Linked DNA regions of Nothobranchius furzeri. The protein of the gene in region 1 binds, or shares a complex with, the protein of each later gene. Links are inferred from orthologs where the notes say so. Each region holds a gene or a part of one and is shown in the gene's direction. Other genes may lie near its edges.

Region 1 (3,824 bases):
GTATCTGTCACTGGTAAATCACAAATAAATGTTTTTTTTTTCTCCACAGCCAGGTGTTGACTCCACAGGTAAAAACCACAATAATTTTAACAAATCAATTTTTTTCATTTGTATTTATTGAAAGTTAATCTGAATTTTATTTATTTTGTCTTGATTCTTGCAGCTGCAGCGCCTGGAACAACCGTACGTTTATTGCTGCTTCCTTCATATCCATTCATCACACGTTGACAGGTTTTTATATTTTAACGTCTGTCTGTCTGACTCGTCTCTGCAGAGTACCGCCAACGGCTCGCCACAGGAGGAACAGCCAAAAAAGGTTTGCACATTTTCAAAATAAAACAACTTGTATTTTATTTGAAATCAAGTTGTTTTAAGATGTAAAAAAACTGATTTAGAGTGTTTGTTGTTTTTGTTTGCTTTAGAAGTCGGTGTGGACAGAACACAAATCACTAGATAGGAAGACCTATTATTACAATACGGAGACCAAGCAGTCCACATGGGAGAAGCCGGATGAACTCAAGTCTCCTGCAGAGGTACGATTGCCCTGCACAACACCTGGATTTGCCTCTTTATCTGTGTACTTATAATTAGGAATAAAGACAATTACATGTATTATAAATGTACCAGATTCAGTAGATGGTGTATTCTAACTTGCAGTTGAAGTGCGATTTCCTTATATATATATTTTTTGCTTTTGTAGCAATTACTGTCCAAGTGTCCTTGGAAGGAGTACAAGTCCGACACTGGGAAGCCTTATTATTACAACTCTCAGACAAAAGAGTCCAGGTGGACCAAGCCCAAAGAGCTGGAGGATCTGGAAGGTAAAGAAAAGGACCAGCCTTCTAACGTGAGCCATGCACTCCTATTGCTGCCATGTTCAGCAAATGATTTGATGCGTAGATGAGTTCTGGAAGCTTCTTGAGTGCATTTCTTTATAACGAGCTTTAAGATGAAAGCCGAAAGCCTTGTTTAACTCTTTTTGTGTGTCTATTCCAGCTATGATCAAAGCAGAGGAGAATGGGTAGGAACTCTTATTTATTTACCTTATTTCTAACAGCATGATTATTCTGACACTGGTTTTGATCATTTGGGTTTGATTGCAGAACAACAGAGACGGTGGTTCCTGGAACGACAGCAGCTCCTGCAGTTCAAGCTGAGACTACAGCCTCTATGGCGACAGTGATGGAGGTGGAAACTGCAGCAGCAACAGCAGCCGTCTCGGAGGAGCCGCCGTCCCAGGTGACAGTGAATCAAACAGCTGAGGTCAAGGCTGTTGATGCACCTGTGACGTCCTCGGAGAGCGCCGTCGTCACAGAAAGCACAGCCAGGTAAACAGCTATGGGTCAGATTTGAAAGTTTACTTTTTCAGAAAAACGTAGAGGAAATGTTGCAGGAGTTTTCTGAACTGTAGCTTTTACAGATGCATGGAAATGGAGGTGAATTATCAGAACGTTGCAAAGGTTAACGAACGGAGCACACGGAGGTCGGCAGCTTTATTCTAGTATAATGACTGAACTTTGAACTGTGGGAGATGAGTGATGGCCTCTCTCGCTGCTCTGGTTATGGTCCTGCTGTTCTTCTATTTTTATCTTAAAGATAATGTTTTTGCATTTTTGATGCTTTGATCGTCTCAAATTTGTCACAGGCTTGTGTTGTCTTTTTTCACTTGCCAGTGTTCTATTTGACAAGAAATTTGAATTTAGTTTTTTTTGACTAAACTCTTTTTAAAACTATTATTATATTTGACATTCTTTCACGTTCTCTCCCAGCCATGAACATAAATTGTTCAACTGTTACCTTTAATGGGGGCTTGTTCAAACAGTGGGTGGCTCCGGACACTGATTGGTTCTCTTCTCAGGTCCCGCCTCTTCCATTTGCTGAGTAGCCCTCGTGTCCGTTCCTCACATCTTTCTCGTCTTCTGATTGGATTTCCGTCTCTGTCACTTTTCATCTTTCTTTGTTTTTGAAAATGTCAGATCCATTTCATTTTCGTTTTTGAGTTTTTTTTTTCTTTGTGCATTTCATTTTTGTCCACAGAAATCTGTGATTAAAAAAAGGTGAAATTTGCATTAACACAATTAACCCTGTGTGAAGCAGGTTAAGATGCAGACGGGGTTTAATCAGCTCTTGCAAGCTAACAAAATCAGACCACGGCTGTGTCCAAATTCAGGGGTTGCATCCAATGAGTACCTGTCCTCATTGGTCTCAGCAGAACGTGTTCTTCCAGGTCCAGTTAGACCGGATGTTAACAGCTGTGAATTTGGATAGTCTAGCCTCAAATAATAGTCCCGCCCCTACTAGGACGGATGTCCTCCTGTCACCTAGCAACTGCTACCGCACTAAGTAGAAGCTGCATAAGTGGAGATTGCAAATGTTAAACTTTTTCCTTGTTTTGTTACTGTTTGAAGAGTTACAGCAGAGGTACCGCCAGTGTTCTGAGAAAATAATATGTTTCCCCTAATAACTTGGGCAAATAAAGAACTAATATTTCCAAATTCACAGGACTTAATGTTCATTATGAGGCCTAAACAACCTCAAATAGAAGATGGTTAAACTGAGTTAGATTACATCCTTTTACATAACTTTCAAAAATGATAAACTTGCTGGAAAAGGGTGAACAACAATGTTTTTACTGTACTTTTATATTGTTTTTAGGAGGAAATATAAATAAAAAATATCACAAGCATGACATCATTACATTACATACTTTTTCTGTACAAGTCGATCATAAGTGGTGGGAAGAGGGCTTGAAGTGAGACTTCCCAACACGAGGGAACAGATTTCAGGGGAACAGAATTTCTTACAACACCTGTCCTGCTGTGCATTTTATGATGAGACTACACCGCACCTGTTCTCAAAATCAGGGAAAAGGAGAATGGATTTTAAGGCCACATTCTGAGCACTCTGAATTTGGAAAGTATTCGTCGCGGCGCGGTGACGTTACTGGTCTTAGGCCTAGTCCACACGTAGCCGGGTTTTAAAAAAAACGAATATCCGCCCCTCCAAAAAATTGCATCCACATCACCTCGTTTAAAAAAAAAAATGTCCACACGTACCCGGATAAATACGTTGTTAAGGACATGCCAGACCTGTAGGTGGCAGTACTTCCCCCGTTCTTAACCTCGTCCTTCGTCTGTGGTCTTCCGCAAGGAGCAGTAATTCCGCTTGCAACAACAAACAAGCAAAAAGCGCTTGGACAATTGATAAAGCGAGCGCAGCTCTGAGGGCATCCGTGCTGTCGGCTAGTGTAAACACAGGTCGCACACGTGATGTCAGCAATTTTTTGTCGTGGAAAGTGACGTTGCGGACCTTAAAACTCCGGTTTTGTCTGTCCACACGCAGACACCCAAAACGGAGAAAACGCAGATCTTCACTTTGACCGAAGTTTTTAAAAAGATCCATTTTCGTGTGGATGACAGGCCAAAACGTAGAAAAATATCTACGTTTTGGCAGATCCCCGGCTACGTGTGGACAGGGCCTCAGTCCTGATCATCAGGGGCCACTGCCCTGCACATGTTTTAGCTGCTCCTCTGCCTTAACACACCTGATTTAAAGATTGATGGCCTTCATTAGCCTGTTAATCACCCACTGATTCATACCAGGTGTGTTGTTGCAGGTAAACATAGACGGCATGCATGGCATGGTGGTGAGGACTAGGATTGGATACACCAAGCTAGTTTAGCTTCCTTTCTGCTGTCACATAAACAGAAACAACACATGAGATGGAAATTAGCAGCACTTACTGATAATCCAATCTGAGTAAAACATGAAATTTTACTTTGGATGCAAGAAAGTTAAAAGTATCTAAATAACGGCTGACTAGT
Region 2 (3,824 bases), on another chromosome or scaffold:
GTAACACGTTTAAAAAAACTTCCGTGATAATACCGAAAACCGTGGTAATTTTGGTCACAATAACCGTGAGGTTAAATTTTCACACCGTGACAACCCTACTGCTATGTTGAATTCTGGGTTAACTAAAGCTTTTGTCTTGAATACACTAGTTTAAAAGCAATGACATCTGCTGCCAATGTTTTAATCACGAATGCATTATTACAGATATAAATTTAATCAGCTCAAGTTGGGCCTCTGCTTGAGGTGTTTACAATTTTCTAACATGACAGGACTGCTTCCGCTCCCATTGTTTTGGTTGGCGTGTGCTTTCCTGCGTTCTTTACCAGTTGTGACAAAAGCCATTTTCCCAATTAATAGAAATAGTTTGGACATTGTTTTCCTTTCAACTTTGTACTTAGGCATTTGACACCAGTCAGCGGTAGGGCTGGGGGAAAACGATTATTTTTAAAACGATTATTCTAACGTAGGGCTGGGCGATATGGACCAAAACTTATATCTCGATATCTTTAAGCTGAATTCCGATATACGATATATATCTCGATATTTTTCCTCCTGTAAACTGTTGACAAGTTAACTCACTTCAAGCTCTTGAGAAATTATATACATAAATCAGTAGGTTAAATGCATAAAAATGTATTGATTCTGGTCAAACTTTAACCGTAGTGCCTATTCTCTACCAGTCTGAGCTTTAGTAACACAGGTACAGATGTCTGCTAACACACACACACACACACACACACACACACACACACACAGTTGAGAGCCAGAGGTGTATCAAATGTCCCACAGGCACTTTTTAATTATATATTTATAATTAATGTGAAATTATTTAAATTTCATCTAGAGGTGGCCCATATTGTATAGATCTTGTCCAGAGAAAAAAAATCCATCATGTTAAGCTAAATGTACGATGATGTAATTGCATCTACTGAAGATCACATGGGTCATGCACCATGGAGTTATTAGTTATTAGAAAAACTAGTTATTAACTAGTCGTTAGTTATTAGTTAGCAGTGTTGGCTCATATCAGCGATTATACTGTAATGATTCAGAGTCTCTGGTTGCTTTTATGAGTGTTATTTTCGGGCTACTGTCGCCATAACCCACACCTTACAAACTCAACTTTTTCATCAGAGTCACTCGTAACGGAGTATTTACTAGCATAGCAAACCAGAACGGAAAAAAACGGAACCGGAACAACATTTCTCACCCGTTGAGTTCGCCTTCAAAATAAAACGGTAACCCTATAGTTTACTATTCAAACCCTTAAATATGTTTCAGGTCATTTGGCCACTCCGGCTTTCCGTAGCCGTTTCCTCATTACACAGGGGAGGGAGGGGTTTGGCTCGTCTCTCTGCACAAGCAGGATGGAAAACCGTTGGCATTGAACGTCCCCAAATAATTAAAAACCAGGAGGCCAAATGCAAAGTTTAGAGCAGCACATTTACCCAGAGGCTCTCAGACTGAGCAAACTTGTGAGAATATACGTAATGGCTGCTTAGAGACGGAGCAACATGTCGCTAGCATAGCGGCTAATCGCTAGCATAGCAGTTTGGCCAGTTATATCGATATAAAGATATAGTCATCTTATATCTTGTTTAAAAATTATACCGATATTTAAAGAATATCGATATATCGCCCAGCCCTATTCTGACGATTATTTTATCAAATAGTCGACTATTCTAATGAGTATTTAGAAAATTAGTCTAATGATTATTTTTCTATTGCACAATTAACAAAAACCAGAAAATCTCAAATAAATTCCTCAAAAACATTGATCAATTGTTACTGTAAGAGAATAAACACTACAGGCCTTCCATTTTGTACAACACTGCTTTTATTGTGTTGGTTGGTTATGTTCTGGTGACGTGTAGATCTTGGGAGTGCAGGCTGCTGCCTGAGAGGTGGTTGGAGACGGAGTGTCTCCATGCTGCTTTGTTTTGGTCACTTATGTGCGTGAGGCGAGTGGTGTTACGACCCTTCCTGGGGAGTTTGGCTCGTGTGCAAAAAGGAAGGGACAATAACGGGATTTAAAAGTTAAAATGATGATCAGGTTTGTTTACAACTACAAAAAAACATAAATCTTTCCATCCGCAGGTTGGGAATAATAAAACTAATTCTGCCTGTGTGGAATTAAAACAAAAGTACAAATAAGTGGGGATGTCCCACTGGGCAAAGATTACAGGGTTCTGGACCAAAATAAGGATCTCCAAAGGTCCAACTCTAAACTGGGCGGTGAAACCAAACTCAAGGTGATATTTTAAACTAAACCGAAAACCCACAACACTCTAAATGTAATAAAAGGGAGATCTGCACCACAAAAAAGATGAACTCTAAACCAAAACGTAACAGCTTATCCAAACGCAAGAAGCTGTTAGCGAAGATGCTAACAGTAGCTTTACCAACGTTAAGTTCAAGTCACCAAGTTTAAATAAACCAAAAACACCCAGCAGCAAACAGACCAGCACGGAGGAGAGACTGCTACCACCAGCACAGCTCTCCTAATGTCTGAAAGAAGCTCCTTTATGAAGGGAGAAACGCTCCCGGTGATTTTCTACATCTGCGGTAGAGACGAAGCAGCGCATCTGACCCCGGAAGTTGTTGTCCGTTGCCGGGAGACGAAGGCGGGCAAAACAGGAAAATAATCTAGTTGTGGACGGACATTGTTCCAGGTCTTCGGTATTTGGCGGAGATGTTAGTGAAGGCGGAGAAGAGGGCGAACTAGAGGAGGAAAAACAGGCAGATTCCACAAACTCCTGGGGATGCAACAAGTGGGCGCGGTGCATCGACTTCCGGATCTGACGTCGACAAATTTTTAGAATCGAGCCGTCGACGTCGTCGAGGCTTCGCTACTGCCCTAGCCAGAGGCTACATCAGATAGCATCTTCTTTTCTCTGACATTTGATGTAGAATTTGAATAACGCTTCTCATAAAGGGGTAAAGTAAAATTCATGGGTTAATTTTTCTTGTTTAGATTTCGGCCAGAAGAAAACTAGGAAGAGGAGTCGATGGAGCAGTGAGACCCCTGATCAGAAGACTGTTATACCGGGGATGCCCACTGTTATTCCCCCTGGACTCACGCGAGATCAGGAGAGGGCGTATATAGGTAAATGATGTTCGTCTTTACCAAAGTTTACCATGTCAGTTACTGGATGTTACTGTTTTGTTGAAGGTTCTAGTTTTCTCTTATGGTACCAGCATCTAGGCTATTTCCTTTTTCCTGAATTCCCAACAGTTTGAGCTTTCTAAGGCAATGCTAATTCAAAGTCAGATAAAGTTCTTTTCACTGTTCTTCTTGCTAAAAGGTGGAAATGTCTTATTTTGCTCCAACTGTTGAGACAAAATAATCATTCTTACTAAGCAATATAATAATAATAATGCTGTTGTGAGGTTTCTGTTCATTTCCCTTTGAGTGTTTCTGCTGTTTTGTAGTCCCCCAGTTTGCATACCATTGGGCAGCCATTAACAAGAGTTGGTGATAGTTGATCAAACGTCTGTTTGCTGAAAACCGCCACGCTGCCGCTCGTTCAACACATCCTCATTACTCTGCGTGGTAGAGGATAATTGGCCTGAATGTGGGCAATGCTGCTTCAGTTGGGTTTACACAGATTCTTCCTGTTGCAGAAGAGAACCAATGCTAAAATAATTAGACTAGTAGAATATAGACCAATATCAAACTTTATTCATAAAAGACTAAGATTTGTATCTTTTAGGCAGGACCGACAGCATTACAGCTGCTGACCCAAAAAAAACCCACAGATTTTTGGGTTAGGGCCGTTTGAGGTGGACCTAGATATGAAATTGAACCAATGGAAAATAATTCA

What was found.
Region 2: the proteins of prpf40a (region 1) and sf1 are in contact, whole or in part, in an NMR structure (PDB 8PXX), measured with the Homo sapiens proteins. The link is inferred for Nothobranchius furzeri from reciprocal best matches to the Homo sapiens genes PRPF40A and SF1. Residues at the interface, in NP_001352526.1 of Homo sapiens: His164, Ser166, Tyr172, Tyr174, Ser181, Thr182, Trp183, Tyr213, Tyr215, Ser222, Arg223, Trp224; in NP_004621.2 of Homo sapiens: Pro575, Pro576, Leu577, Pro578, Pro579, Gly580, Ala581, Pro582, Pro586, Pro587, Pro588, Pro589, Pro590.

Annotation. Positions count from the first base shown.
Region 1 is NC_091754.1:18,349,621-18,353,444, reverse strand, and holds part of prpf40a (pre-mRNA-processing factor 40 homolog A), read left to right. Parts: intron 1-49; coding exon 50-68; intron 69-163; coding exon 164-183; intron 184-274; coding exon 275-316; intron 317-422; coding exon 423-533; intron 534-700; coding exon 701-821; intron 822-996; coding exon 997-1,021; intron 1,022-1,103; coding exon 1,104-1,328; intron 1,329-3,824.
Region 2 is NC_091743.1:88,302,575-88,306,398, reverse strand, and holds part of sf1 (splicing factor 1), read left to right. Parts: intron 1-2,974; coding exon 2,975-3,106; intron 3,107-3,824. UniProt on the Homo sapiens protein: Necessary for the ATP-dependent first step of spliceosome assembly. Binds to the intron branch point sequence (BPS) 5'-UACUAAC-3' of the pre-mRNA. May act as transcription repressor.